4 linked regions of the Saccharomyces cerevisiae S288C genome follow. The gene in region 1 interacts genetically with each later gene. Each region holds a gene or a part of one and is shown in the gene's direction. Other genes may lie near its edges.

What was found.
Region 2: mutations in URA1 (region 1) and YER187W together harm fitness more than expected from each alone (negative genetic interaction), as found in Saccharomyces cerevisiae (one large-scale study listed by BioGRID).
Region 3: mutations in URA1 (region 1) and MPH3 together harm fitness more than expected from each alone (negative genetic interaction), as found in Saccharomyces cerevisiae (one large-scale study listed by BioGRID).
Region 4: mutations in URA1 (region 1) and APL1 together harm fitness more than expected from each alone (negative genetic interaction), as found in Saccharomyces cerevisiae (one large-scale study listed by BioGRID).

The regions. Positions count from the first base shown.
Region 1 is NC_001143.9:20,906-29,318, forward strand, and holds URA1 (dihydroorotate dehydrogenase), read left to right. Parts: upstream 1-4,309; coding exon 4,310-5,254; downstream 5,255-8,413. Other genes in the region: JEN1 (monocarboxylate/H+ symporter), read left to right, coding at 1,329-3,179; OXP1 (5-oxoprolinase), read right to left, coding at 5,922-8,413. UniProt on the Saccharomyces cerevisiae protein: Catalyzes the conversion of dihydroorotate to orotate with fumarate as the electron acceptor. Molecular oxygen can replace fumarate in vitro. Does not use oxaloacetate or NAD or NADP as electron acceptors.
Region 2 is NC_001137.3:561,431-569,587, forward strand, and holds YER187W (uncharacterized protein), read left to right. Parts: upstream 1-4,799; coding exon 4,800-5,225; downstream 5,226-8,157. Other genes in the region: YER186C (uncharacterized protein), read right to left, coding at 275-1,195; YER188W (uncharacterized protein), read left to right, coding at 6,610-7,329.
Region 3 is NC_001142.9:737,419-745,134, reverse strand, and holds MPH3 (alpha-glucoside permease), read left to right. Parts: upstream 1-5,318; coding exon 5,319-7,127; downstream 7,128-7,716. Other genes in the region: COS5 (Cos5p), read left to right, coding at 1,136-2,287. UniProt on the Saccharomyces cerevisiae protein: High-affinity uptake of maltose and maltotriose. Also transports alpha-methylglucoside, glucose and turanose but not melezitose or trehalose.
Region 4 is NC_001142.9:444,313-453,161, forward strand, and holds APL1 (Apl1p), read left to right. Parts: upstream 1-1,610; coding exon 1,611-3,713; downstream 3,714-8,849. Other genes in the region: SAG1 (Sag1p), read right to left, coding at 1-549; LSO1 (Lso1p), read right to left, coding at 4,165-4,446; DNA-directed DNA polymerase delta subunit POL31, read left to right, coding at 4,890-6,353; SUI2 (translation initiation factor eIF2 subunit alpha), read left to right, coding at 6,708-7,622; MHO1 (Mho1p), read left to right, coding at 8,118-8,849. UniProt on the Saccharomyces cerevisiae protein: Adaptins are components of the adaptor complexes which link clathrin to receptors in coated vesicles. Clathrin-associated protein complexes are believed to interact with the cytoplasmic tails of membrane proteins, leading to their selection and concentration.

The DNA.
Region 1 (8,413 bases):
CATGCATGACCCGGGGGAATGGAAAACTTCTCATGGCTACCCCAACGAAGCCAGACAAGATCTAGGAGATGTCTCCACCTTCCGAGCTACACTCTCACATCTCTTACATAGACACTGTGAAGTAAGTGATTGCACACAATCCAAAGAAGCACATCAAATAATATGTAAATATTACCCGTACAAATGGCAAATCATGTCCACTTTCCCGTTAGTCATCGGGTGGGCCGGTCCTCGCACTTTCCTTTTGTTTCGGATGTTAATTAATATATAAATGGATCTATAATTTTCAAAAGGTATAAACGCACAGTATGAAAAATATTGCAAGAATAATGTGTTTATAAATTATTTTTTTTGCTGGTAGCAAAATCAACTCATTGTCTTCCATTCAGAGTCTAATCGAACGTTATCGCAATGCTTGCACACTTTTAAACAATACGATTTAGTTTAAGTGGATGGACCCCCACGCTTAGTGTTCCACAGGTTTGTCCCCACTGTTTTTACATTCCACTGTACATTTTTGCAATAGAAGGTCATTGTATGCTACCTTGGGCGGCTAAGAATACCTGTAAAAATTTGGAGAAATTAGATTCGTAAAGAATGACTCGCAACGACTCCAATGATTTCTTCTTTTCACCCTTTGAACGGCCGATATCCGCGCGGGATCCTGACCCCGCAATTTACTCCACTAGACCGGCGTGTTTCTCTTTTTCCTTTTCCTGGGGTTAGAGCCCAAGAGCTAATAGCCGACAAACGGACTCCAAAAAAAAAAGGAGGCACAGGACAAACGCAGCACCTGCGTCATTCACGCTGAAGCGGCAGCAAGCATTTTCGATCAGCTCCAATTAAATGAAGACTATTCGCCGTACCGTTCCCAGATGGGTGCGAAAGTCAGTGATCGAGGAAGTTATTGAGCGCGCGGCTTGAAACTATTTCTCCATCTCAGAGCCGCCAAGCCTACCATTATTCTCCACCAGGAAGTTAGTTTGTAAGCTTCTGCACACCATCCGGACGTCCATAATTCTTCACTTAACGGTCTTTTGCCCCCCCTTCTACTATAATGCATTAGAACGTTACCTGGTCATTTGGATGGAGATCTAAGTAACACTTACTATCTCCTATGGTACTATCCTTTACCAAAAAAAAAAAAAAAAAAAAAAAAAAAAAAATCAGCAAAGTGAAGTACCCTCTTGATGTATAAATACATTGCACATCATTGTTGAGAAATAGTTTTGGAAGTTGTCTAGTCCTTCTCCCTTAGATCTAAAAGGAAGAAGAGTAACAGTTTCAAAAGTTTTTCCTCAAAGAGATTAAATACTGCTACTGAAAATATGTCGTCGTCAATTACAGATGAGAAAATATCTGGTGAACAGCAACAACCTGCTGGCAGAAAACTATACTATAACACAAGTACATTTGCAGAGCCTCCTCTAGTGGACGGAGAAGGTAACCCTATAAATTATGAGCCGGAAGTTTACAACCCGGATCACGAAAAGCTATACCATAACCCATCACTGCCTGCACAATCAATTCAGGATACAAGAGATGATGAATTGCTGGAAAGAGTTTATAGCCAGGATCAAGGTGTAGAGTATGAGGAAGATGAAGAGGATAAGCCAAACCTAAGCGCTGCGTCCATTAAAAGTTATGCTTTAACGAGATTTACGTCCTTACTGCACATCCACGAGTTTTCTTGGGAGAATGTCAATCCCATACCCGAACTGCGCAAAATGACATGGCAGAATTGGAACTATTTTTTTATGGGTTATTTTGCGTGGTTGTCTGCGGCTTGGGCCTTCTTTTGCGTTTCAGTATCAGTCGCTCCATTGGCTGAACTATATGACAGACCAACCAAGGACATCACCTGGGGGTTGGGATTGGTGTTATTTGTTCGTTCAGCAGGTGCTGTCATATTTGGTTTATGGACAGATAAGTCTTCCAGAAAGTGGCCGTACATTACATGTTTGTTCTTATTTGTCATTGCACAACTCTGTACTCCATGGTGTGACACATACGAGAAATTTCTGGGCGTAAGGTGGATAACCGGTATTGCTATGGGAGGAATTTACGGATGTGCTTCTGCAACAGCGATTGAAGATGCACCTGTGAAAGCACGTTCGTTCCTATCAGGTCTATTTTTTTCTGCTTACGCTATGGGGTTCATATTTGCTATCATTTTTTACAGAGCCTTTGGCTACTTTAGGGATGATGGCTGGAAAATATTGTTTTGGTTTAGTATTTTTCTACCAATTCTACTAATTTTCTGGAGATTGTTATGGCCTGAAACGAAATACTTCACCAAGGTTTTGAAAGCCCGTAAATTAATATTGAGTGACGCAGTGAAAGCTAATGGTGGCGAGCCTCTACCAAAAGCCAACTTTAAACAAAAGATGGTATCCATGAAGAGAACAGTTCAAAAGTACTGGTTGTTGTTCGCATATTTGGTTGTTTTATTGGTGGGTCCAAATTACTTGACTCATGCTTCTCAAGACTTGTTGCCAACCATGCTGCGTGCCCAATTAGGCCTATCCAAGGATGCTGTCACTGTCATTGTAGTGGTTACCAACATCGGTGCTATTTGTGGGGGTATGATATTTGGACAGTTCATGGAAGTTACTGGAAGAAGATTAGGCCTATTGATTGCATGCACAATGGGTGGTTGCTTCACCTACCCTGCATTTATGTTGAGAAGCGAAAAGGCTATATTAGGTGCCGGTTTCATGTTATATTTTTGTGTCTTTGGTGTCTGGGGTATCCTGCCCATTCACCTTGCAGAGTTGGCCCCTGCTGATGCAAGGGCTTTGGTTGCCGGTTTATCTTACCAGCTAGGTAATCTAGCTTCTGCAGCGGCTTCCACGATTGAGACACAGTTAGCTGATAGATACCCATTAGAAAGAGATGCCTCTGGTGCTGTGATTAAAGAAGATTATGCCAAAGTTATGGCTATCTTGACTGGTTCTGTTTTCATCTTCACATTTGCTTGTGTTTTTGTTGGCCATGAGAAATTCCATCGTGATTTGTCCTCTCCTGTTATGAAGAAATATATAAACCAAGTGGAAGAATACGAAGCCGATGGTCTTTCGATTAGTGACATTGTTGAACAAAAGACGGAATGTGCTTCAGTGAAGATGATTGATTCGAACGTCTCAAAGACATATGAGGAGCATATTGAGACCGTTTAATCACTTTTCATTGCTCTCTAGGGCGTGTTCGCTTCTCTATGTAACTGCATTTCACATATATTCATATTATAGCCTTTATAACATTACATAAAAGACATGATATACGACATACTTTAAAGTTAGAATTTTTGTTGTATTAATTTTCTCGAAGGGATTAGAATGTAAGTACATTTAAATAGCGCCGCAAGAAACATAACAGCCGTTAACACTAGCAAGATGGTAGATTACTGTGTCTAAGAATTTAAATTGTTTTGCTTGCTTTTGCCACTATAAGACAATAATAGTAATAGAAAAGAAATGTTAGTCGAACAGCAAATTGGTAAAAGTGGAAAAAATTATTTCGTTATTCATTTTAGGCCGTTCAGAAATATAGCATTTTGGTTCTTGCACTGAATGGGCCCTGAGGACAGTGTGCGGCTGGATAGCCATATACTTCGACATTACTTTTCACCTTTGAAGGGGGATGTATGCTTATACACAATCAAAGCTCGGCCTGTGCAGGTTTCACTACATAAGCTTTTTTACCATAGAAATCTTGCAGAAGGAAGTAAGTATCAAGATATTACGTATCGCATCCATAGAACGATAGCAGAAAAATGCAGTATATGATAACGATATGCTTCACAGCTGCGGCCCATTTGGGGAAAAAAGGAAAAGGAGCATCCTCGATCTTACAGATGTCGCTTTTTCCTCTTGAGGTCATTCCCTAACCTTGGATCCAAGTCAATCTGGTATCTTCCCACCCTAAATAGTGTATTCCCCATGTAATAAGATCGGACGATAAACTTCGAAACAATTCTAGCCTTTTTTATTAGATATTTACTCTACTTTAGATTTGGTGATTTTACTAAATGTTATCCTTCAGCCACTACAGCCTACTTTTTCTCACTAATATGTTCTTGAAGCCATTTTCTTCACCGGGCTTTGCCGAAGGTTATTTCACGATCTTCGGCATTCGCCGAAAATTTTTCAAGATGCCCATCACCAAAAAATAAAAAAAGCTTTATATATGGCATGGCATACGCATCGGGAACCGGTATTCTTCTCTTGGATTACACAGTTTGGACTACTAGACGTTTCAAATAGATATACACAATTACTCAAAAAAAAATTGAACTTCCGTACCAAACATGACAGCCAGTTTAACTACCAAGTTCTTGAACAATACCTATGAAAACCCATTTATGAATGCATCCGGTGTTCATTGCATGACTACACAAGAATTAGATGAATTAGCAAACTCTAAAGCTGGCGCATTCATTACAAAGAGTGCTACAACCTTAGAAAGAGAAGGTAACCCTGAACCACGTTACATTTCTGTCCCTCTAGGCAGTATCAACTCCATGGGTTTACCAAACGAAGGTATCGACTACTATTTGTCCTATGTATTAAACCGTCAAAAGAATTATCCTGATGCACCTGCTATTTTCTTCTCAGTTGCTGGTATGAGCATTGATGAAAATTTAAATTTGTTGAGGAAAATCCAAGATAGCGAATTCAACGGTATTACCGAGTTAAACTTGTCTTGTCCTAATGTGCCTGGGAAACCACAAGTTGCTTATGACTTTGACTTGACAAAGGAAACCTTGGAAAAGGTTTTTGCCTTTTTCAAAAAACCTCTTGGTGTCAAGTTGCCTCCTTATTTTGATTTTGCCCATTTTGATATCATGGCAAAAATATTGAACGAGTTCCCATTAGCTTATGTCAACTCTATCAATAGTATAGGAAATGGTCTTTTCATTGATGTGGAGAAGGAGAGTGTAGTAGTGAAGCCAAAGAATGGTTTCGGGGGTATTGGAGGTGAATATGTTAAGCCAACCGCGCTCGCCAATGTTCGTGCATTTTACACTCGTTTGAGACCTGAAATCAAAGTTATCGGTACAGGTGGAATTAAGTCCGGTAAGGATGCATTTGAACATCTTCTATGTGGTGCCTCTATGCTACAGATTGGTACAGAATTACAAAAAGAGGGCGTCAAGATTTTTGAACGTATCGAAAAAGAATTAAAAGACATAATGGAAGCTAAGGGTTATACATCCATAGATCAGTTCCGTGGGAAGTTGAACAGCATTTAATTATCGGAATTTGAAGAACTATGATGGGACAAGTTATGGAAGAGTGTTAAGATTCGTATGAATATTTTATTATTTTGAAATTGCATAAATCAAGGATAGTTGGTAAATGCTAATTCCTTAATTTTTCGGTGAGTGCATTCGCAATTGGCATCATACATTAGGGTTCAATGTGCTTTAATAGATGATGATACTAAATACTTATACTTTGAAATAACTTAATCAATGTAAATTATTGTCTTGATTCATTTATACTTAAATTTTTATATCTCAACATATGATATATCCTTACATTAAGACTTATTCAAGAAACATTTTTCAACGATAATTATTAGTAGGCTAAAAATGGCATAGGAACCAGAAAATAATGTTGAAGAAATGAAGCCATCTGTTTAATATTTGGGGAAAAAAGTGAAGAAATTAACGAATATGTGCATATATATATATATATATATATATATATATATTGCACAGGTGATTTTGATGTAGAATGTAGCCTTTTCGAAAGAGTAATTTGGTTTTATCTACAGAGTTCCGAAACATTGTTAAGTGCCTGTTCTTATATAATTAAACTGTACTTTCTGTAAAAGTCAATTTGTGGCTGGCGCATCCACGGTATACCAATGGTTCCGTGTAATTCGATATTGACTAAGAACCAAAAAGAAATGCTTTAATCCTTGTATTGTCCAAATCCCCCACCACCAGGGGTTTTAATGATGAATCGATCACCGGGTTGAGCGTAAATCGTATTTTTACCGCCGACATTGATTAATGCGCCTGTGCTATGTCTTACCCATAAATTCTCACCTCTACTACCGTCTTGTCCTCCCTTTATACCATGAGGGCCAATGACACGACGTTCTGATAATATAGATGCTGTTACAGCCTTCCGAAATTGAACATCCCTTACTACGCCATTTCCGCCAGTATATTTACCTTTGCCTCCTGAACCTCTTCTGATCGAGAACTCTTTCAACAGAACGGGGTATCTCCTTTCAAATACCTCAGTATCTGTCATTCTTGTATTGGTCATATTCGTGTGTACAGCGTCTGAGCCATTCCAACCACTTCCTCTCCATGAATCTGCACCAGCCCCCGAGCCGCCACATATGGTTTCATAATATCCAAAGCCTTTGATCTGCTTATCGGTTTTGTTACCAGAATTTCCTCCAGTTCCAAATGTAAAGTTGTTACAGTCACCTTGAGAATCTGCCATGACGTTAAATGTTTTTAAGATTACATCTGTCACTCTTTGGGAAGTTAATACATTGCCTCCGACAACAGCAGCACCGGATCGGGGGCTCAAGAGGGAACCAGCAGGAATTTTTATTGTTAAGGGTTTTAAACAACCTTGATTTAAAGGAATATCTTCGCCTACTAGACACCGTAGACAATAAAGAATCGCAGAATTAGTAATAGCCTCTGGTGCATTTAAATTACCATAAACTTGGGGAGAAGTGCCATCGAAATTAAAAATATACTCCTCTTTTTCAGGTCTTATGATAACTTGTAGTTTAATTAAGCTTCCATCATCTAAGCGATCTTCGCCAGAAAACTTCGTTGTGCCAAAATGTTCAACCATTTTTGCAAGCATTTTTTTTATGGATTCAGATGCATTTGTCTGAATTGCAGCCATGTATTTCAATATTGTAGCCAGATCATATTCCTTAGTTAATGACCCAATTAACTGTATCCCTTTTGTGTTAGCTGCGACTTGCGCTTTTAAATCGCTTATGTTATCACTAAATCTTCTTGAACCTGAGCAGCCTGGGTATTTGCCTGGATCTTCTACGAAAAGCTTGTAAATTAATTCTTCCTGGAAAATTCCCTCTTTGACAACCAATTCGGAATAAATTGCGGTTCCTTCTTCGTACAATTCTTTGGAATTTGGAGGCACTGAACCGGGTAGAATACCTCCAATATCTGCATGATGGGCTCTTGAAGCCACATAAAATATCAATTCGCCAGTTGAAGAGAAAGAAGGAGTTATTACTGTTATGTCTGGTAAATGAGTACCACCAATATCCGGATGGTTTGTGATTAAAACATCACCAGGCTTTAATTTGCCTTCCCATAACTTCGCCTGTGCTGATATGCAGGTTGACATTGATCCTAAGTGAACAGGTACATGAGGAGCGTTAGCGACTAAGTTTCCTTTAGAGTCGAATAGTGCACATGAAAAATCTAATCTCTCTTTGACGTTAGTTGAAACAGAAGTTTTCCTCAATTGAGTACCCATCTGGAGGGCGATATCCATAAACCTATGACTGAAAATAGACAATAAGATTGGATCTATATCAAGTTCATATCCGCTTTTAGATAATGTCTTCGCAGCCTTTTGGTTGATCTTGATAAATATATGAGAGTTTAAAATTGTTGCTTGGCTGTTTGGTAAAATAATATTTGTTTGGGTACCGTCAGCCAATATGGCTGGGCCCTCGATAATTGTTCCGGCAGGAAGATCATCAATTTTGAAGACCGCAGTGTCGACCCATTTGTTGTCAAAATATGCTTTCTGGGTAAAACTAGCATCCTTTGACACGTCGGCTTTCTTGAAATGGGAAATTTCAATCAATTGCTCATCAACCGTTTTTTCTTTTCTAACGCCTGATTTCCCAATTGCTCTTATCCTTATATCATCAATTATAATTCGTTTGTCATCGAATGAGAATCCGAACTCTTTTTTATGAGCTTCAGAGAACCATTCCCTAAAATTCCATTGGTCATCATATTTTTGTAATATCATCAAACTGGTTTCAGTACCTTCATATCTGAGATTTAAATATCTTTCCAAGACTATGTCCTCCCGAGAAAACGACTGAGATAAAAGGTTTTTGATTGAATTTTTAGAAAGTTCTAAGAATCTTTTTTTCACTTTCAAGATGGTCTCTGGCTCACCCAAGATAAAAGAGCAAGGCTCTTGGTTTTCTTCAATAACATCTGCTAAGAAAATGCCATAAGCGGACAAGATAGAAGAATATCTATGAATTAAAACAGTGTCAATGCCCAATGAATCTGCAACCGCTATGGCGTGTTGCCCGCCAGCCCCGCCAAAGGAAACTAACCGATGCTGAGATACTACATGTCCTTTTGCTTCTGTAATGGCCCTCACAGGTCTTGCCATGCATTCGTTAGCTACTTTGATAAATCCATAGGCAACCT
Region 2 (8,157 bases), on another chromosome or scaffold:
TTTCTTAACGGTCAGCAATACTTGAAAATAATTTTAGCAGTTCAAACTTTCGTTGTTATCTTGATACTGAACTCTCCTTAGTATTCATATAAATGATTCTATTTAATAGTCCCCTCCGCAGGGTAATTTTAAGGCCTTCTTTTATTTCCAAAGGAATTAGTATATAGCATATAATATAATTTATCACCAAATCAACAGAAAATATCATAATAGCATTAACCCGCAAGAATTTCTTTAAATGAACACAGTTTTCTGCAGTGTTAAATAGAAATTTCTAATTATCCTGCATCCAAGACATGAAATCGGTATATTCAAGGAAATTTATTAGCACTGAAATGCATATATTCATTTTTGTTAGCCACGGAACTGAACTCTCATTATAATGTGGCGGTCCGGTTTCCCCTAAAAATAATTGAGGGCATATATGCATATCTTTTCGAGACTCAGGTTGAAAAAGAGCCTCCTTAGTTCTGCACATACATCCAATAGTAGGGCAGGAGTCCCAATCAAATTTAGGTATGTCCTCTATGCTATCACCCACCTCTGGTAAACAGCCAATTGCGGCCTTTATGATGAACAGTGAGGAATTCAAATTAAATTTACTCTCTGAGGTGAAAACCCATTTCATAATAACCTTTTTATCCTCTACAACATATACTGATCTAATTTCAGAGCATCTAACCAGTGTCAATATCCTAAAATCTTCCTTTTTTCCGAAGTTGAGCTCTAGTATGTGGGATATTCTCTCCTTATTGCGATAATAGCTTGTTTTCTTCACCTTAACAGTGCAAAAAAGAACTTTAAACAGAGTGAAACCGTCGCACTCTCCTTTTACCTCATAATCCGACTCTTCAGGGAAGTCCCCATTTTTCAATATCTCGTATTGATAAAAAAGAAAACCCACATAATCTCGCCTAACAAAAAAAGGCTTCTTAGTGCGGAAGGCAAATAACGGCAAGCCCTCTCCATCCGCCGTAAATGACTTGAAGGGATGCTTCCTACTTGCAAACAGATTTATAGATCGTTGTGATTTGAATATTAGATCGTCTTTGAAAACACGAAGCTTGACCATTCCAGTTTTCGTTACAGTATCAAATTTAAACTTATCCGGAACATCCTTCCTGTCTTCGTTAGCGTAGATTTCTTCTTCTATAGCCTTTACTCGAGGCTCGTAACCATCAGGATGCCACAGCATGATACTGTTTACAGAACTCGATCATATACTAGAACCTTTGACTTCGGTAATCAGCCCGCATCCTATGCTTTCATTTCCTTGGCGTATGTTACTGACTAGTTTCCTGGCTTAAAATAGGAGAATTCATCCTCTTAGTTATTTTCTTGGTGGACCACGTGCCTTGCTTAAAGCAGGGCGCTGCCGTTGTTGCAACAGCATTTTCAGACTTTCCTTTAGGTAAAAAAGGTCAACCAATAATTTTATTTTATTTCTGATGATGGTTGCGCGTTCCAAGAAAATCAAAACCTTGGGCCTCATCCTCTTCTAAGACGTATAATGCAATCAAGAAACCCTTCCCAAAACCTAATAAAGGCTTGTTATTAGTTTCAAATTCAGGCAGAACTCGACTTGGATCTTTTAAACTTTTAAAGTCGTAGAAAATAGGTGCATAATTAGCTAAAACAGAAGAGACTCACCATTTGAATTATATAACTTTATTAATTCGAGTAAAACATCCATCAGGTATAGCGTGTTGCGGAAAGACTTTTTTTACTCTTATTGTAACAAATATGTGTTACAATTTACCTGTAACCTTGTTCTGTATAAAATTTTCTCTCGTTGTCATATGCCAATCTTTATATAATTAATAGAAATTTAGGAGGAACACAAGAAGAGGGGTAGATCCCGACAAGCCTTAACATACAGACGTAAAATTACTCGCAAATTTGCGAACCACTTGGTCAGGTGCGGTACGTAAAACGAAGATTTGTACAATAAAAATATTGTTGGTTTAGCTAGATTATATTCTCCGATGATTTTTTAACTTCGATTTCCATCAAATTTTATATTAGACAGTAATGGAGTTTCAATTTCGAAGTCACTTCACTTGAAGCTGAATTATACTAAAAAAATTTTCTTTTACTTGATTTATTGCTCTGCAGTGTCTGATAGTGTAATGGCGGATAATGCAAAGAAGAGTAAAGGGAAGATATTTTATTTCTTTGATTATACAAAATTTTTAACTTGTATGTGATCCCTGTCTTTAATATCGTTTCATTATACAAACTAACTACAGAAATAGCTAAATGAGTGATTACTGTGCCATCATTTTGACTTCAAAGATCATCTATATCTTGATATAACATCTACCTGTCGAAAGTAAGATCATCCCTTTGCGGGCATGTAAGGTGTAAGATATAAGAACAAACAATTGCTAGAAAATAGCTTTGAATGAATGTTAAAAGGGACTGAACTTAGAAGTGTGCGATTTTCTGTTTTCAAAATTTGCCCAAAGCGCTTCTTTTCTTTTTAAGAATTGTATAGATGTAATTATTTAACGGATGTCTGACATTATTGAACCTTCCTAACTCCACAAAAATAACCAACGGGACCTCTACCTTACTAAACCACTTCCCGCCCCATTAACTAACCAGCATAACCTAGACAATACAAGGAAATGTACTTCGAAATTTTAAGGTAAACGCAATTCTTGTCACAATATAAAGCTCTCACTGTGCTCATACACTGCTTCGATAATAAAAACCAAATGGTTTCTACTAAAACATAGCAAGCCTCACAAGATATAGAGATCACACACCATTGAAAAAGAAAGTTCAGCAAGTTTGCTGGAGGTTGCAAAGAGACTAACGAAGGGCTTTCATAACGACATTTTACAGTTATTGATAAAAGAATGCTTTTACGACAGCAGAACCTATTGGTTTGAAGAAGATAGAGGTCTAGTAGTATATTGTTGCTTTAATGATTCAAACTCTTAACAATGTGGGCAAATATGCGTATGATTTCGTTCTGGGAAAGGATAGTAAGAAGCCTTTTTGATTACAAAACCGTGAAAGACGGTTTAGCAGCTTTTACAGGAAACCTGCTTTACCTTAGCCAGTGTTTTCTCATCTTCAAAAAAAAGTATTGTACGCAACTCTTCCATCTAGCAGAGCTCCCGCTCTTTTTCAAACAAGTTTCATTATATTTATTCTTAATAATTTTGGTATCATCGAGGTGAGGTCTTCGTTGTTTCAACACCAGCTATTTTTCAGCGGCTTACAATTACGTAGTTCTATTAACGAATACACTGGGAGGTGAGTATAATCATGGACTGTAACACTATACGACTCCAACACGTTATATGTATCAGTTATATATATATATTATATTATTTTGGGAAGAGTAGCATTGCTTTTGAAAGTACACGGGGTTTACTTTGGCTCATAGAATGGGTCTGGATATGAAATTCTGAAATATTCAGATTTTGGAGTACTGAAAATATTTAGCAAGAATTTCAAATATTAGTTAGTAAACCAAACCAAGGCATCTGAACTTGAACCTCCATAACTCGCTTTCTAACATAATGAGCTTGTATGACATAATATTATAGAACTCGAGGTTAACCTTTAAATATAAATATAGTAATCTTCATGATAATAATTTCAGGGTAGTGCGCGTATTTGTCGAAAAAACGCAAAATGACAGAAATTCTATGTTTACTGACTTTAGATTTTGTTTTAGATCAATTGGCGGAAAAAGGACGCAGTCTGTAACTTTGATTGGCATCTTGATTTGATTTGTTGGGTGGTTCTCTTACAATCAATGGTTTATTTCATGGAAAGCTTGATGACATGTGATAGCACACCATGCTAATTAGTGAAAAGAGTCCTTGTTGACTTACCACATGTGCAGCCGCCTTTTACCGTGGTGCGAAGCATATTGAGCGGCCTGGAGACCAAGAATGTCAGGGCCTTTAAACAATAGAAGAAGTGTATAGGAAAAAACTAAGGTGTTTTGAGATATTTTTTATAAAAGTAGTATTTCTTAAAAATCAGCGGGGAGCCATTCTTTGAAGGCGCGCTTGCAAATTTTAGGTATTGGGCTTGATTATTTTGGCAAGTGTCATGCATTGTAACAAATCTATATAAAGTGACAATTCTGGAACACTGTATCGTAATCCCAAATAATGTATGTAGAATAGAAAAAAATATATGAAAAAATGAATAGATCATACACAGACGACATGAATAGCAGCCCTCCAAATTACTTGACAACAAGGACGTTTAGAATCGTTAGATTGTTTGCAATAATTTTTGCACTGCTTTTGGTAGCGTACTCATTATTTTTAAGCACACTTAGAACTGGAGCTATACCTGACCGCGCCAACACTGCTGCTCTAGTACGGCGAGCTAGGTGATCATTTGCGACTGGATTAGGACTAGGAGGATTTTTAATTGCTGCAGCCGCTTATGCTACTCCTTACTGGGTCGCAGCAACCTGTATCGCATCCACTAGCGGAATATGTTCACCTATAGCTGGTGCTGTTTTAGCAACTTCAGCAGTTATAGTTGCAGCAGTTTTAGTGGGAAAGAGTTCTGGCTCAGCAACAAAGCGAGGGTTAAGTGAGACTATTAATGTACTGAATCATACTATAACACTCACTGATCATGTGCTCAATGGGCAAACATTGTCTAATGGTACTGGTAGTAATTTTGTTACAATAGAGTTTAGTGGGTATGCAGTACATGACACTATTAAACGTGACGGTGCTGCTGAGATCAACTTTGTGGGGTATACTACGGAGCATGGAACCCACATCAGCACGAGTAGCGTACATAATGTGAGCATGCTCATCGATCAAATCGTGGCAGCGGTACCAGGGGTACCTGATATAAGTGGCAACGCTTCGGCCCTATCGTTACAGAGACGCAGTCAAGAGTTCGCCACCTCATGGATATCAATGACATATAGTCAGAGTTATGGTGACCTGGCACAGAACTGGCAGAATGACGAAGGTGGAGCAGGAAATTTTGATTCTTATGCTGAAGAGAAGTTACAGAATTTCTTTTCAGGTAATAGGGATTGGAAATACTGCTTTGCTGCTGAGGACACGAAAAACGGTGAGCCACTTGATTACGATGACATACCTGGTGACGGTGCAGGCACGGGTTCGGCATTCAAGTCTGAGATATATTTTAACACTTACGGTGGTATAGATAATTATTGTAATGACGAGCATATCGGTGCTCAGAACACTGGAGATGGTCGATAAAGCTTTACGCCTGTCGCTGAATTGACTGACCCGAAATTAAGAACTGTTGACGTAGTGAATTACGATCTAGTTTATATGTCATAATGTAGTAAGTTTATTGGACCCTTCTATATGTTATGTAAATGTAATAATTACATAGTTACTGCTTTTGTACATAGAAACTATAGTTTCTTAAGTACTACCGGATTAGAGGTTTGCTACTATATGTTTTCCTTGTCTCAAGCATTACTGAAACAACTCTGAAACAATACTAAAACATTACTCATATCATGCTTTTGGGTTACCACATTCAACAATAACTCGAATACATTTATAAAAAAAACAAAACTAAGGTACAAAACACACACCACACCACATACGCGCTGATTGGTTTTATGGAAGCTAATAGTTCAGACATAGCTCAGAAAAATAATAATAAGTATTATCAAATATAACTCATCTGGTTACATGCTAAGTTCTTGTCAAGTGATATAGCGTTATCTTTATTATTGAATTAAATTCTATAATTAGAATTCGACTACACCAACTAATGACTCTAAAAAATATGTGATTGCCCTTCAAGATTGCATTATTTCTCAATGCATTACATACATAGAGTATACTAGATACAGATAGATGATTGTAAGTGTTGGAACAAGATTCAATTATCATCCTATTTATTGCGATAGACGCACTACTTGAGAGTGATATACTTACTTATGCTACTGCATTCAAAGAGTACCACTAAACAATCTCAACAGAATCAATCAGACTTTTTTTTGCCACAAAAACTTTTAACGATGTCCTTTGGCAGTACTGTATTTTGAGATTAAAGGCGTTCAGTCAATAAAAAATCTAAATTCTTGTTCATTTTCAGTTCTGGTATTTTTTTCATATTAATGATGGGGTGGCTCTGGAGGCTCATTTTTCCCACTGAAGATCGCTGGTAATTTCGTTCGTATGTTTTAAAGAGAACTATATCCTGTCGCCAATTATGTGCAGTTGATGAGAAAACTAAGATAGAAATAAGTAGGGATGGAACCAGGATCCACAAGAAGCGCGTTTAGCCGATCCGGCTTATCAGGTACGAGAAGCAGTATTATTAAGTAAGAAAGCGCGCAGGAAAGCGGCCTTTTGAAAGCACGTCTGCAGACATCTCACGACACATTCCCAAATAGGGCCCTGCTAAAAAAAAAGCAGCAGAGCGTACGTTGCCTGGGAAGCATGGTTTAGCGTGTTGCTATATTATGGTAAGGGGGGTGGTCAGTATACGTTGTGCTGACTGCCAGAGAATATCCTTATTCACAATTATTTGTTGAGTTTGATACTTATTTACAGAGACTATATATAATGACACTTTTGGAATACAGTATCGCTACTCAATATCATAAAAAAAGTAACAATAATGATGCCTACCTACCTAGGAAAGTTAACGTGGTCATACTTTTTTACCACTTTAGGACTAGCTTGTGCTTACAACGTAACAGAACAAATGGAATTTGATCAGTTCAAATCAGATTACCTTGCCTGTCTCGCACCAGAACACAGAAACATTGTAGTCGATTTGGCTAGTAATGGATTCATAACAATTTCACCGATGGCGAATGCAACAATTGACTTTGAGGATGTAACTAGTGATTATTTTAACTGCACTGACGTCAATACTAACGTACAGGTTACGATCGCGTCATTTTACAATGAATACGGTTTTGGGCCCGATGATAACGGCTATTATCACGCTATGGAAGAACCCTCAGAATTTGAACGGCATGACATGGATGTTAGGCTCTACAGACCATACTATCCAGGTGAGTTTGTCATGGGAAGACGTTCAGATGCACTTGGAGTGACTGGTTTTGACCAAAAGGACTGCGCAGGTGAGGGTTTTTACGACGAACAAACTGCAGCAACGTCATGTCAAAATATAGGCTCCACTCAGTACGCCAAGTCGGTCAGGTCTTATAACTATGGATGCTGCGGCGGGGCGGTCTGGATCAGGATTTGGCCGCATCACAATTGTTCAAAAGGTCATGATCACCATTTCAAGATAAGGCCAGGCCAGATGCTATGCTGGAATGTCAACCCATATTCTTGGATGCAACCAGAATCCGGATGGAATCCGTAACGAATAGGATTCTGGACATACGTTAGGTTCTTGTCGAATGTGATAACCCAAAAGCATGGTACAAGTGATGCTTCTTTTTTGTGTCGGTAATACACAAGGAGAACATATAGTGATAAACCTCTAACCCACTATTACTTAAGAAACCCTAGTTTCTATGCACAAAAGTAGAACCCTATATATCTTATATTTGTATTACATATATAAATGTCCAGTAAACTTACCACATTATGACATATAAGCTAGATCGTAATTCACTACGTCAAAATTACATTATGGGAGTGAAAGTATAATGGAGCACCCGTGTGAGTATGTGCTTGTTGACGTTAACGAGGATGAACAAACGACAAATAGATTCGACGTATTGAAGTACTTCTTGGCCACTTTTCATCTTCTGACGCGGTGAGCTTTTAAGAGCCCTTCTTTTTCGACTGGCCACGTGAGAAGACATACAGTTCAGCTTACATAGCTTTGGCCCATACAATACCTATGTGCCCCAAACCGCAGAGACGATTAGCACACCTTTTTACCTGCACCACAGTCATTTCTCGATAATGGTGAAAACACAGTGATACCACCGCACAGCAAAGGTGCTGCCAATGGACTTGAAATATTTTATGGAGTGCGAATAAAAAAATGCTCATGGACTCGAATATGAGATGCAAAGCCACCCTGTGCAAAATGGTTATCCTTGTGGGAGAGTGTTACGACAGTGATGTGGCATATTATTCTAATGTATGGTCTGTGTAAGTACGAAATATTCTGAAATGGCATCCGTTCAAGCAATGGTAATATTAAGGAACTTATACGTTAATGACGTCATGGTGGTAT
Region 3 (7,716 bases), on another chromosome or scaffold:
CTGTGCCATTTACCCATAACTCCCACGATTATCCACATTTTAATATCTATATCTCATTCGGCGGCCCCAAATATTGTATAACTGCTCTTAATACATACGTTATACCACTTTTACACCGTATACTAACCACTCAATTTATATACACTTATGCCAATATTACAAAAAAATCACCACTAAAATCACCTAAACATAAAAATATTCTATTCTTCAACCATAATACATAAACACACTTAATTGCGTCTTAATACTATCATGGTATCATTAACTTAAAGTTCCTTAATATCGTCATACCACTATGCTCTATTCCATATATTGTAATATAACTGTACTCTATAGTCATACAGACGCTTTTACTTCACCCCATCTTCTCATACTATTGTCATAGAATCTCACACTGACGCATGATTAAAACGAATAATTTTTACTGTAAGGGCTGCCATCCGCGCTCTATCCTTTTGTTTGCAATATTTATATACAGAATCTCAAAACAAGCGGGAGAAGTGCTAATTACCCAGAGGTCATGCATGATCTGAGTACCACCGTACCTCTAGGTTTTGTTTTGATCCGTTTTACAGTGACACCGAACATAAGGGGAAGCTATTGACATGGTATCGAAAGGTTGTCCACATTGGGAAGTAACTTGGTTCTATGAATCTTCATGTCAGATACGTAGGACAGACTCTTTCCTGTGTAAATATTTGTGACAGCTACGTCTATTTTCTACTAGATGTTTACACAGTTTTGTCACAGGAAATCTACGCTTAAAATATGTATTTCATTCAAGCGGTAACCGCTGTACGAGCAGTGACATTGCTGGTCGCACCTTAAATGTAAACCAAAGTTACGGCACACCGTGATGTACCCGCATTAAAGTTTTGTAAATTCGTTATTACGATTATCGAGTTGGCTAGATAGAAAACCGGAAATGAAATGGATGCCCTTTTCGAATAGCTGAGTTTCTTTGCCTAAAATAGCCCAATATTGTTGCCCTTTTTCTATCACGAGGTTACTGAGCCATTGCATGAACGCGCGCGCCTCGGCGGCTTTTTTTTTCTGCTGTGCTGTATAAAAGCGAAAAGTCAGAAGTTACTATCTCGAATAAAAAACCCCTCGAACTGCCATCTCACTACCGAAAATGAAAGAGAATGAACTTAAAAATGAGAAGAGTGTAGATGTATTATCCTTCAAACAGCTCGAATCCCAAAAGATTGTTCTACCTCAAGATCTTTTCAGAAGCAGCTTTACCTGGTTTTGTTATGAAATTTACAAGTCCTTAGCGTTTCCGATCTGGATGCTATTATGGCTACCACTTAGCGTCTGGTGGAAACTTTCCAACAATTGTATTTACCCACTTATAGTTTCACTTCTGGTCCTGTTTCTGGGACCAATATTTGTCCTTGTTATTTGTGGACTTTCTCGTAAGCGTTCCTTATCGAAACAACTCATTCAGTTTTGCAAAGAGGTTACTGAAAACACACCAAGTTCTGATCCTCATGATTGGGAAGTTGTTGCAGCAAATCTAAATTCGTACTTATATGAAAATAAGGCTTGGAATACTAGGTACTTTTTCTTCAATGCCATGGGCTGCCAAGAAGCGTTCAGAACAACCCTTCTCGAACCCTTCTCTTTGAAAAAAGACGAAGCTGCCAAGGTTAAGTCATTTAAGGATTCCGTCCCTTACATTGAAGAAGCATTGGGAGTTTATTTTAGAGAAGTTGAAAAACAATGGAAGTTGTTTAATACTGAAAAATCATGGAGCCCTGTTGGCCTGGAAGACGTTCAGCTTCCCAAGGATATTCATCGGTCCAAGCTTACTTGGTTTTTAAAGCGGATTTTCACTATTTACTCTCTACCATTATGGCTTGCTTTTTTGAACTGTATCTGCGTGTCACAGCATTTTTGCCTTGCATTTCGTATATTGTGTCCTGGATTGTTTTTCCTCATGATGGTGTGGCTTTTCCAAAATATGAGGACGACTGCTTTACTCGTGAAAATGGAACACAAGATGCAATTCTTGTTGACTATTATAAATGAGCAAGAAAGTGGTGCGAATGGATGGGACGAAATTGCAAGGAAAATGAATAGGTACTTGTTTGAGAAAAAAGCCTGGAAGAATGAAGAGTTTTTCTTCGAGGGGATTGACTGTGAATGGTTTTTTAGCCACTTCTTCTACCGCCTTCTATCTGCAAAGAAATCTATGTGGCTTTTACCATTGAATGTGGAACTATGGCCATATATTAAAGAAGCGCAATTGTCCCGCAATGAAGAGTCTTTAATGAAGAAATGAGAACGCCCTTCTGGACTTAAAAATTCATACTTTTGCATTCTGTTAGATATGAATACTACACTCTATTGAGTGACTTTAAAAGGCGAGTGGACACTTTTATCAAGCGATTTATCATGCAGTAATACTAATATTACTAATTAATCACTACTACCTCTCTTAAACAGGAAATATGCTATTCATCAGTAAGAAGCTGCACAAATGTTATATATCATACCAGGAATACACATAAGAGCAAAAATGCTATTCTACAATATCCTCATCTTACCAGCTCACTCACAAAATATTCTTACTCCGAGTACGACCATAAAGCAATGCTAACGAATAGTCATACTAAAGTACTATAAAATCTTTCCGTGCGCTCAAACGGAGGCCATGCCATAAAGTTAAATGTGATAACTTAAAAGCATCATAAGAGTGATTTTCCAGTATTGTTTCAGTAATGTAAGGCCTAAAGAAGAACGCATATTGGTAAACCTCCAACCTACTAGTAATTAAAAAGCTTTAGTTTAACCCGTAGTTCGGGATACACTTCGGGCATAACGTACGTTTATTATAAATTTTTATATCTCTTGCGTACCATGTATATTCCAGAACAGTGAATACACTTTTCTAATTCATTTATGCTACTTTCATATCCTCCATTAAAGCGGGAGCTACCGTTGAAAAGGCATAATAATTGAAGTTTCGAGTGGGTTAGTTACACTAGGTGAAGGATCGTTTGCCTCCATATGGTCAAGCCATTCACGGACATTGATAATAGCTGGGACAATTCTGGTTTCATAAAAGGTTTCATTCATCCAGATTACAGATGCATTCAAATAATAGTCGCCAAATACTGATACCTCATCAAAATGAAAATATGTTTCTAACGGAACTGTATTAGACCATGCGCTCAGTTAGCTGGAGTCGCGTTGGTTAACAAATTAACTAAATTCACCATTACTTTACTTAAAGACCTATCACCACAAAGGAAATGGCGATTCTACAACAGGACCAGCTTCACTGTTTTTACCGTTGATTTAAAGATCACCTTTTGACTATTTTATATGCCAATTCAGAAACCGTTATAATAGAAGTTTTCTACTACAAAATTTACAGGATGTTGTAGCTTGATTGCATAATATTTTTTTAAAACGGATAACCACCAACCCTCGTCAGTGACTTCCCATTATGAAAATTTTCTCTTCTAATCCTTTTTGGTACCCTTTTTCCTATCATGCGCCTCGAAACAACTTCCATAGTACGTGCCTGCTACTGTGAGTAGTTTACTGCCGCAGTCAAACACTATACTGATTCAGCATCCATCAGTAAGTGCGCGCTAAAACGACAACTTTTTCGTACCTTTACAAGTAAGGAGTGGTTAAGGTGTATAGCTCATACTAGATATTAAACTTCGGAGAAAAGTCCCTGTTTCAATGACAAATATGAGTTGCACAATAGAATTTTTATATCTATGATTACGCTTGGTAGGATGAAACTCTTAAATTCCGTTATAAGTTTTATAAATCGCCGTAATTGCAAAAATACAGGGTGATGCGTATAAGTCTCATAAAAATCAAATCATTCCCTCTATTGCAACCATATCAAATTTTGATGATGATTATTTTACAATTTTCATTGCCATGGATGAAAATAAACGCTGATATCTTTATAATTAACCCGGAATGGAAATTGTGCACAGTACATCAATGGCGTTTCGAGTATTAAGACCTGTGATTTAGAGCCAATTAGCCAAGTAAAGCGACATTTCCTTTCTATGTTTGGCATCTTTTTTTTTTGGCCTTAAAACAGTGTTTCTATAAAATTAAGGGCCAACTCTTACAATAGTAATGAGATTAATAAGGCCCAAAGAATATTTTGGCCATTTCTTTTTCGTACAACCATATAGTTTTCTCAAGTAGCGACGAAAGAGAGATAACTGAAACAAAATGTCATGGAAGAAGTGCTTATATTAAAAAATCTATGTCGGAAATATTTCTATAGGGAAAAGTATACTAAAATCTTACTCGAGCTTTGAAATGAACAAGCCTAAACCGCCCAATTCCAAGATCTTTAATATACTATAACTTGAAAGTCATACCTGTTATATCACTCCAGAGGTTATTGTGGGAGCATATTTAATGCTTTGTGGGTAAGCTTGATAAACTGTAGTTCTACCACTTTTCCCAGGATACTGATTATGGTAAAAGTTCTTATTTGTCTTACGACTTAGATTTAGCACTCACATTTGTCATCATATGTTGAAAAATCAAGCTGGAATTTATTGGTGGATCTTTCATCTCCATTTATACTTTTTACTTGTTTTTCTCCAAGCAAAAAGATTTCACGTTGTTCGGGAGGTAAATATGAAGTAGGAGAGCAGTCAGGTAGAGTGGTTATCCCATCAGCCAGAACCTGTCCGTAAACAGGTTGTGGACTACAGTATGTGTGTTTTTTTCTTTCTAATTACTCAATTTGGATATTTTGGTGACTATAAAGACCTCTCGTAAATTTCTGAAAATATGCTTCGGTTCGAATCTGTGGTCTGCAGTGCAGCGTGTTGGTATTTTACCGACAGTTTTAGCGAAATATGTATAGATCTGTCACGCTTGCAACATCGCGACAGGTCGATATACTAAAATTACAGCATGAATTTCTGATCTATAATCACACTGTTGCAGTTTCCAGAGAGTCAATCATATTAAGTCCTCAGTTTGAATCAATGTTGGCTTTGTTCTTCTGGAGAGGAATCAGCTCGTTATATGTTTGTCTTTTTCTCTGCTCGAGAGTCATCGCGACATTCCACACCCCGCGTTTTACGTGCACAGAATCTTTCGTAGAAGGGAGCATTTGACATCCTGTCAGCCATATGCAATGAGTATGCCACAAGTTCATGATAGTGTTGACTATAGAATATAAAAAAAAGGTGGGGTCATCTGTAATCGTTGTTTGTAATTCTTAGAGGCCTGTTCTTGGAATTATTATGCAAAGATTACCATCACAAAATCTAACACAAATAGAGATACAGGTCTTGTAAAGCCATTACCTAGCTATGAAAAACTTATCTTTTCTCATAAACAGAAGAAAGGAAAATACAAGTGACTCGAATGTATACCCAGGAAAGGCTAAGTCGCATGAACCCAGCTGGATAGAAATGGATGATCAAACTAAGAAGGACGGCTTAGATATTGTTCATGTTGAGTTCAGTCCGGATACAAGAGCGCCAAGCGATAGCAATAAAGTAATAACAGAGATATTTGACGCTACTGAGGATGCCAAGGAGGCAGACGAAAGTGAAAGAGGAATGCCACTTGCGACAGCATTGAATACATATCCCAAGGCAGCAGCTTGGTCACTATTGGTCTCTACAACTTTAATCATGGAAGGGTACGACACAGCTATTCTTGGAGCTTTCTACGCCTTGCCTATTTTTCAGAGAAAGTTTGGCTCACAAAATGACAAAACTGGAGAATGGGAAATTTCAGCGTCATGGCAAATCGGGCTGACCTTATGTTATATGGCAGGTGAAATTGTGGGGCTACAGCTAACGGGGCCCTCCGTGGATCTTGTTGGAAATCGTTACACATTGATTATTGCATTGTTTTTTTTAGCTGCCTTCACTTTTATACTGTACTTTTGCAATAGTTTAGGCATGATTGCTGTGGGACAAGCATTGTGCGGGATGCCATGGGGTTGTTTTCAGTGTTTGACGGTGTCTTACGCTTCTGAAATATGCCCATTGGCTCTGAGATATTACCTTACAACCTATTCAAACTTGTGCTGGTTATTTGGACAACTTTTTGCAGCTGGAATCATGAAAAATTCTCAAAAAAAATATGCGGATTCAGAATTAGGATATAAACTACCATTTGCCCTACAGTGGATTTTGCCAGTTCCTTTAGCACTGGGAATTTTTTTTGCACCTGAATCTCCATGGTGGCTAGTTAAAAAAGGAAGGTTTGATGAGGCAAGGAGATCACTTAGAAGAACTTTAAGCGGCAAGGGACCTGAAAAAGAAATACTAGTAACTCTGGAGGTGGACAAAATAAAAGTGACTATAGATAAGGAAAAGAGACTCACAAGTAAAGAAGGCTCCTATAGTGATTGTTTTGAAGACAAGATTAATCGAAGAAGAACGAGAATTACTTGTCTCTGCTGGGCTGGTCAAGCCACTTGTGGTTCAATACTAATAGGTTATTCAACTTACTTTTACGAAAAGGCTGGCGTTAGTACTGAAATGTCCTTCACTTTTAGTATTATTCAATACTGTCTCGGTATTTGTGCTACATTTCTATCTTGGTGGGCGTCAAAGTATTTTGGTAGATATGACCTTTACGCTTTTGGACTAGCCTTCCAAACCATTGTTTTTTTCATTATTGGCGGTTTGGGGTGCTCAAGTACGCACGGTTCCAAAATGGGAAGTGGTTCTCTTTTAATGGCTGTAGCATTTTTTTACAATTTAGGAATTGCCCCGGTCGTTTTTTGCCTAGTCTCTGAAATGCCATCTTCAAGACTAAGAACGAAAACAATCATTCTAGCACGTAACACTTATAATGTGGTCAGTATCATATGTAGCGTTCTCATCTTATACCAACTGAACTCTAAGAAGTGGAACTGGGGCGCTAAGTCAGGCTTTTTCTGGGGTGTCTTATGCTTTTGTACTTTAATCTGGGCTGTGGTTGACCTACCAGAAACTGCCGGAAAGACTTTCGTGGAAATAAATGAGTTATTTAAACTTGGAGTTTCTGCAAGAAAGTTCAAATCGACGAAAGTAGATCCGTTTGTTGTCAAAACCCCCCCTAAAGACGTCTCTCATAACGACCCCAAGGGAGATATCGAAGCTTCCATTGCAGAGGAATAGCAATGTATCCCATCACTTATGAGCTAATGAACATTTATCGACACAGGTAAATAGGTAACTATGGTATTTACTCTACATGTTACGGAGTATAATACACGTAGATTTGTTTCTTCCTCATATTCCCATGACATGTCTCAGTAATTGAACTCAAAGTAACATTTAGCTTTCTTCTTGATCATTGCGTTTGGAAATGTATAGTTAGAGAAAAGATTCTTTCTCATCCGAGTATGGCGCGTGAAGAAAATGAAGATGGAGTTGTCGAAACAAATGGTCATCGACATTAGTTTAATTGTCATAGTAACAGTCTGGGCACTCACTTCGTACATCCCTTATACATTTAAGTGCAATTTTACCTATTCTAAAAATAGAAAAAATCTCGAATGAGCAGTTCTGGCAGTACTGAAACTGAGTTAAAAATCTATCAACTGGAAGTAATGCGGTAGTTTTATATATGAGCAATATATGCCGTCAAATTATATGTACAGTAGCTACCAGAGCGGTTATTATATTGTTCTTAATCAATAATAAACAAATCAGAGTATATTTCATAATTTCCTCTTACATTTTTAAGAAAAAAGGGTAACATTTA
Region 4 (8,849 bases), on another chromosome or scaffold:
GTGAAAAACATTCTCTGTAAAAGCAGCAGGATCGAAATTCACCACATCTGACATTTGATTACCAAGTTTAACAAGCATTGGCCCAGATTTGAAAAACTTAGCGTTTTCTAACTCATATTCATAGCTGGAACCACCATCACTAAAATTTAGCGAAAATGTTATGGATCCATCAATCGTATTATAGGAGGACAGGTCATTTTGAGCAGTACATGTGAAAGTAGTATTTTCATACAAGTATGCAGCCTGTTGCGAAACATAGCATTTGAAAGCCTCAGTACCATCCGCTAAGGAAATAGTAGCTGTTTGCGATGAGTTTAATAGCTTAATCCTATAAACATGTGGCATTGATAATGTGAATTCATCGCCCTCCCTAATGGAAGACGCATCTGCAATACTAAAATCAAAAGTGGCAGTCCAACCTTGATCAGGTTGTTTATTTGCAGTCAGTGGAGTAATTTCTAAATTGGAAAATGTGATATCGTTGATATTTATAGCAGAGGCCAATGCCAAGGAAAAAAGCCACAGAATAATTTTGAGAAAAGTGAACATTTTGAAAACTGGCGAATTGTTGTTCCTTTTGTGCTGACTATATTAAGCGAGGCGACTGATATAAGGAAGATATGAGAATGGACGATTACTAGAATAAATAGAGGGCATTTCGCATATTTATAGTATGCTAAAAGGAATCTTTTTTTGATTCACATGGCTTTTTTTTTAGAAGATTGCATTTCGTTACATGATCAAACAATTCCATTGTAACGTTTTTGGGAATATTTAAGCGCCGTTACTGAAGAATGAAGTGACATAAAGCTGCCATTGTATGGTAAAACACCAAAGGCGAGTACCCTTAGCATTTCCTTATCGAGCTGGAGCGGCTTCTACCTTCCTAATTAGGTCATCAATGACCTGCAAAACAAAGCGAAATGGACAAAGGACCTACACTTGCCTCGTGGCGGGAAACTGCATGTAGTTGTTCAATGTTTCACCACTCAGTGTTGAAACTGTTTACTCCATTGAATTGAGGTGACGATGGATAAACTTTCTTTATTTTTTATATTTTTTTATAATTTAATTAACCTAAATTGAGCCTAACAGAGGAATTTGAAACAACACAATAGAAAACATGAGTTTCAAAAGCTAAATATGGTATTACTATTCATAGTGGTCTTGGTAATGAATAATGCATATGTATACTCTTCTTAACGCCTTATCTTATGTAACCATACACTTTTTTAGTAAGGTTTCAATTAAGCTACTATTCTCAATTAAATACTGCTCTGAGCTAGATAAGGCCTATTGAAGTTGGAGGATTAGATGGATAGAAATAAGGAACTAAATCGTCAAGTTCGAAAGCCTATTCCCATTCATGCATATCACTTACCTTTCCTTAATCATGATCTCTTTAGTGCCATCAGAACTATTTTCTTAACATCGCGATTCTGTCTTCCGGGTATCGCTCCAAAAATGTGCGAGGAAATAGGAGATCGTTCAAATCATCAACTTTTAGTATTGGGTATCAAAGTATCGCAGCCTGGAAACAGAATTAATCTACTGCACAAGAAGGGAATACAGCAAGAACATTCACTTCATTAATAGGACGTATTTCGCTTATGTCCGATCAAAAAGTTTTTGCCAGATATAAAGCAAATGAAATCGTCACAGATCTGCAACATTTTGGAGTAAAAAAGTTTAAATCGAATATAACAAGAAGGAAAAATGCTCTGAGAAAAATTATCGCCAATTTGGTTCTAGGAAACTATGGCGAAATGTCCGTTCTGTTTTCTGAGCTCTTGAAATTTTGGCAAATTGAAGATGATCTAGAAGTGAAAAGAATTTGCCATGAGTATATTAGGGTGATCGGCGCATTAAAACCTCAGCAGGCCAGAGAGGCTTTGCCATTTATAATGGACGATTTCAAAAGCAGAGATGAAAAGTTACAAATAATGGCACTAAGAACTCTGGTATTAGTCCCGGTGAAAGAGCTATCTGATCAGGCCTTCGACTGTATCATTTCATTGGTAAATCACAAGTCTCCACCTGAACAAGTGACGAGGACAGCAATTTACGCACTGTTGGATTTAGATGAAATTGATCATGAAAGGGTATTGGGGTTATCAAGCATTCTACATGACATTGTAAAAGCACAGTCGAGCTCTCCAGAAGTCATTGTAGCTGCATTACATACTTTATATTCCATTCACGAAAAAAACGCTAACATGGAACCCTTCAGGATTCCCTTGGAACTCGCTTTTGACATGCTAGAGCTTTTACCCGAATTAAATGAGTGGAATAAGGCTACTGTTTTGGAAGTTTTGACGACTTCGGTTGTGCCGCAGCATTATTTGGATACCCATGAAATGATCGAACTAGCTTTACCGTACCTGCAACAAGTAAACACATACGTAGTGTTGAACTCTTTAAAATTCATCATGTACTTGTTGAATTATGTTGACGTCATCAAAGAAACTCTAGCCGAAAAGCTATCTAACTCTGTAATAGCTTTGTTAGATAAGCCGCCTGAATTACAATTTTTAGTATTAAGAAACGTTATTCTTCTTTTATTGAGTAGGGAGTCATCTCTACTCAGGCTAGACATTTCGTATTTTTTCATCGAGTACAATGACCCCATATACATCAAAGACACGAAATTAGAGTGTTTATATCTTTTAGCTAACAAGGAAACATTACCAAGAATTCTAGAAGAGTTGGAACAATATGCTACAGATATTGATATTCAAATGTCAAGGAAATCAGTCAGAGCCATTGGTAATCTGGCTGTTAAGCTAGATGAAGACTCTGTACACGATTGTGTCGCTGTTCTACTAGATTTGTTAGAATTCGGTGTTGATTATGTCGTCCAGGAGATTATTTCGGTTTTCAGAAATATTTTGAGGAAATATCCCAATAATTTTAAAGCAAACGTAACAGAACTAGTCAAACACACTGAAGTTGTACAGGAACCTGAATCAAAAAACGCTATGATCTGGATAATAACGCAATATTCGGATGTAATTCCAAACTACCTGGAGTTATTTAGAGTTTTTTCCTCAAACATGTTTAGTGAGACGCTAGAAGTGCAATTTTCCATTCTGAACTCAGCAATAAAATTCTTCATCAGAAGTCCTACAAAGGAAACTGAAGAACTTTGTATGGATTTATTAAAAGGATGCATCGATCACGAAAATAATCCTGACTTAAGAGATAAAACACTGATGTATTGGAGATTGCTGTCATTAACGAAAACGTCTCGTATATCAAACGCGATAACTTTTGAATCTTTAAAATCAGTACTGGACGGAGAGTTGCCACTAATAGAAATGAACACGAAATTAGATCCCACCGTTTTGGAGGAATTGGAGCTAAACATTGGTACAATAGTATCGATTTACTTAAAACCTGTTTCTCATATCTTTAGATTGAATAAAACCAAACTGCTACCACAAAGTCCTATTTTGAATCCAAACAAAGACCTCTTGCCAGTTGTAGGTAACTCATTTCCTCCAACTGGAGCTAATAGGGACCGTCAAAATTCAGAAAGCCAGTCCTCGACGAAGTCCAGAAAGACTGCTATGATGGATGATTATGATAAGCCCGCTGAAAAAATTAATCAGTTGAAAGGTAAGCGTAAATCTAGTTCAAACAACCCCTCAAAACTATCACGGAAACCCTCAACTTTATTAAGAAAACTCTCTATGAAACGGCCCTTTTCGTGACTGCAAATGATACTAATTCCTGTATTTAAATATACTCATATTTAACGAACAATTATGATGAATGAAAAAACCTGATATAATAGACTTAACTAAGCGATCATAAAAAAATTCAAAAAGTTATTTTATAAAACAATTCAGATGTTAAACTAAAGAGTTAATGTAATATATATACAATGAACTGCGTCATAAATTCCCATAGTTCAGCTCATGGGACATTATCTACTTATAAAGACGTGGCTTGGCAGCATTTCATATATAAGGCTACTGAATGTAAATTTTTCTTCCATTGTCTTTCCCGTGTCCCGAGAACTCAATTCAAGCACTGTTCTTGGGCGTAATAAACCTTCCGGTACTACTAAAATCAGACAAAGGCAGGAAGCCTCGATTTGACCTTTTAACGGGTAAAGCTCTAAAAGTTGCTCTCTGCTCCATATTCTCGTTTTCCGTCATTTCAGTATCTTTTTCCCCTGCCTCCCTTACCTAAAGCTTCCTCTTCGGCGGCTAGTAATTGGTCTCTTTCCTTTTTGGCTCTTAGCTTCTCTGTCTTTTTTTGTTCCATAATCAGCTTCTTCTGGTTAGGGGTTCTCGCACCTTCTTCCCACCTCTGAGCTTCTTGAGCTTCTAGTTGTTGTTTCTCTAGTTGGTCCTTTTCGTAAGCTTGCCTACGTTTTCTTGCTCTTCCTGCTGCCACTTTTTTGGCAGTTTCTGAGTATCTCTTGCCAGTATTATGCATGTTCGCTTCTTCACTATGTTTGGTGGTTTCTAATGACAACTATGCGGTTAGCAAACTTCCAAAAGGCGGTTAATAATACGACTACACATTATCCTATATATATATATATATGTACGCAAGTGCTTAGATTGGAAAAAAGGGTGCAACATTCTCGATTGTTCTATTTCAGCCTGTTGATATCAATCTGTCGTTCAATGCTTTGTGGGTGTGCTTTACCCACTCTTATACAGTAGTTAAGTGGCAAAAAGGGTGTCAAAGGGAAAGGAAAACCAGAGGAAAAGCAAAATAGCCGCCAATACTAACTCTAGATTTATATCATGTTATACGATTAATCAGACGCGTCTGATTAATTTCAAAAGTTAAAATATAAACTATTTTTGAAATCCCATTGCAATAAGCGAACTATAGCTGAATCTTTCCTGCAAAAATGGAAGTGAAGGGCAATGGACGCATTGTTAACAAAGTTCAACGAGGATAGAAGTCTCCAAGATGAAAACTTGTCCCAACCACGAACGAGAGTAAGAATTGTTGACGACAATCTTTACAACAAATCGAATCCATTCCAACTATGCTATAAAAAACGTGACTACGGTTCTCAGTACTACCACATTTATCAATACCGTCTAAAGACTTTCAGAGAACGCGTCTTAAAAGAATGTGACAAGAGATGGGATGCGGGCTTTACCTTGAATGGCCAATTAGTTCTAAAAAAGGACAAAGTGTTAGATATTCAGGGAAACCAACCATGTTGGTGCGTAGGATCCATATATTGCGAGATGAAATATAAACCAAACGTACTGGACGAAGTGATCAATGATACATATGGTGCACCAGATTTAACTAAAAGTTATACTGATAAAGAGGGTGGTTCTGATGAAATTATGCTCGAAGATGAAAGTGGGAGAGTGCTTCTAGTGGGAGATTTTATTCGGTCTACACCCTTCATCACGGGTGTTGTTGTAGGTATACTGGGTATGGAAGCTGAAGCCGGGACATTTCAAGTTTTAGACATATGCTACCCCACTCCTTTACCACAAAATCCTTTCCCTGCACCAATTGCTACCTGCCCCACCAGGGGAAAAATTGCTCTTGTTTCTGGGTTAAACCTCAATAATACATCACCTGATAGGCTATTGAGATTGGAGATTTTGAGAGAATTTTTGATGGGGAGAATCAATAACAAAATTGACGACATTTCTCTAATTGGTAGATTACTGATATGCGGCAACTCTGTTGACTTCGACATTAAAAGCGTGAACAAAGACGAATTGATGATTTCTCTAACTGAGTTCAGTAAATTTCTACACAACATTTTGCCATCTATATCTGTTGATATTATGCCCGGAACCAATGATCCAAGTGACAAATCTCTACCGCAACAGCCTTTCCACAAATCATTGTTTGATAAGTCCCTAGAATCATACTTCAACGGTTCTAACAAAGAAATTTTGAATTTAGTGACCAACCCATATGAGTTTAGCTATAATGGCGTAGACGTTCTAGCCGTTTCAGGCAAAAATATCAATGATATTTGTAAATACGTAATACCATCAAATGATAACGGAGAAAGTGAAAACAAGGTCGAGGAGGGCGAGAGTAATGATTTCAAAGACGATATAGAGCATCGCCTGGACCTTATGGAATGTACAATGAAATGGCAAAACATCGCGCCCACCGCACCTGATACCTTATGGTGTTATCCGTACACTGATAAGGATCCATTTGTATTGGATAAGTGGCCCCACGTTTACATTGTGGCAAACCAGCCATATTTTGGAACAAGAGTAGTGGAAATAGGTGGTAAGAACATAAAGATAATATCTGTCCCTGAATTCAGTTCTACTGGGATGATAATATTACTGGATTTGGAAACGTTAGAAGCAGAGACGGTCAAGATTGACATTTAAATAAAACAAGGAATAATTTCCACATAGATATGCAATTAAGTTTTATATGTAAAAGTGAGCATTCATCGTTCAGCTCAAAATACGTTTCTTGTCACAGCTGGTAGAAAAACTATGAGCGTTTTTTCTTACCCGCAGTCGGAGAAAAATTTTTTCTTCGAAGAGGCGAAAAAGAGAAGAAGAGAAAGCACAAATCTGATGAAATAGTAGTATAAAATCGCATTTACAAATTTTCAACCATTGTTTATTTCCTAGGTCATTAAAGAGTAAAGTGCAATCTGTTTACTAATCAGTTTTTGTCTTCATATTTTTGTGTCTTTTCTGCTGCCTCACGCACCTTCTATAATACACCAAATAATGTCCACTTCTCATTGCAGATTTTATGAAAACAAATACCCAGAAATTGACGATATCGTCATGGTTAACGTCCAGCAGATTGCTGAAATGGGTGCTTATGTTAAATTGTTAGAATATGACAACATTGAAGGTATGATTCTACTAAGTGAATTGTCCCGTAGACGTATTAGGTCAATCCAAAAATTAATTCGTGTTGGTAAAAATGATGTCGCCGTTGTTCTTCGTGTCGACAAAGAAAAAGGTTATATTGATTTGTCCAAACGTCGTGTTTCTTCTGAAGATATCATTAAATGTGAAGAAAAATACCAAAAATCTAAGACTGTTCATTCCATTTTAAGATACTGTGCCGAAAAATTCCAAATCCCTTTGGAAGAACTATATAAGACCATTGCTTGGCCATTAAGTCGAAAATTTGGTCACGCTTACGAAGCTTTCAAACTATCCATCATTGACGAAACTGTTTGGGAAGGTATTGAACCGCCATCAAAAGATGTTTTAGATGAATTAAAGAACTATATCTCCAAGAGATTAACACCACAAGCTGTAAAGATTAGAGCCGATGTTGAAGTGTCTTGTTTTAGTTACGAAGGTATCGATGCCATTAAAGACGCATTAAAATCAGCTGAAGACATGTCCACAGAACAAATGCAAGTTAAAGTTAAATTAGTCGCCGCCCCATTATATGTTTTGACCACCCAAGCCTTGGATAAGCAAAAAGGTATTGAACAACTGGAAAGCGCTATTGAAAAAATTACAGAGGTTATTACAAAATACGGCGGTGTTTGCAACATTACCATGCCACCAAAGGCTGTCACTGCTACTGAAGACGCTGAGTTACAAGCTCTATTAGAAAGCAAAGAATTAGATAATAGATCTGACTCTGAAGACGATGAGGATGAGTCAGACGACGAGTAATCATTGCCGCGCCTAATTTTTCTAGGTGTTTTCAAGTGTCATACTGTTTTAGAAAATTTTGTATAGAACAAATACGTATATCCTGCCATATCATATTCTTTGCAATATACACCTTGTACATTTGGCTATTATAAATATTACAATCCATTTAATCATAATCAAAATTTAATTTCTGTTACCACGGGGTTGTCAGTGGAGCATGCCCTGCCGGTTCTCTATAATTTATCTTTTTCACATGAGATATTTTTACCTCAAAAGGTAGTGATGCTGTAATAATATGAGGCTCCCCCCTTTCCTTCGGAATTGCATTTAAATCATTGGGGAACACTAAGACAAGACAAAGGGGCCGTCCACTCATGTGATTTTCAACAAAACAGATAACATGCGGATACACACTGATATATTTTCAAAGGAAAGTCTGACTGATACTTAAGTGAAGTGGTCCTAGTCGGTGGCTTAGGTGGACTACAGTGCAAAGAATAGAATTTTTCAAACATGTCAATACGTCCAGCAACACATGCAGGCTCATGGTATTCCAATAGAGCCCAAGAATTATCTCAACAACTGCATACATACTTGATCAAAAGTACCCTTAAAGGCCCAATTCACAACGCCAGAATTATCATATGTCCTCATGCCGGTTACAGGTATTGTGGACCCACTATGGCCTACTCGTACGCATCGTTGGATTTGAACCGTAATGTTAAGAGAATATTTATCTTGGGGCCGTCGCATCACATCTATTTCAAAAACCAAATATTAGTTAGTGCATTCAGTGAGCTAGAGACGCCCTTGGGTAATCTGAAAGTGGATACAGACTTGTGTAAAACATTAATACAGAAGGAGTATCCTGAGAACGGAAAGAAGCTGTTTAAGCCAATGGATCATGACACTGATATGGCTGAACATTCCTTAGAGATGCAGCTCCCCATGTTGGTGGAAACTTTGAAATGGAGAGAAATTTCTTTAGATACGGTGAAGGTATTTCCTATGATGGTTTCTCATAACAGCGTTGATGTTGATCGTTGCATTGGTAATATCTTGTCGGAGTACATTAAGGATCCGAACAATTTATTCATTGTAAGCAGTGATTTCTGTCATTGGGGCCGCAGATTCCAATATACTGGGTACGTCGGAAGCAAGGAAGAGTTGAATGATGCCATTCAAGAGGAAACAGAAGTGGAAATGTTAACTGCTAGGAGTAAACTTTCACATCATCAAGTTCCC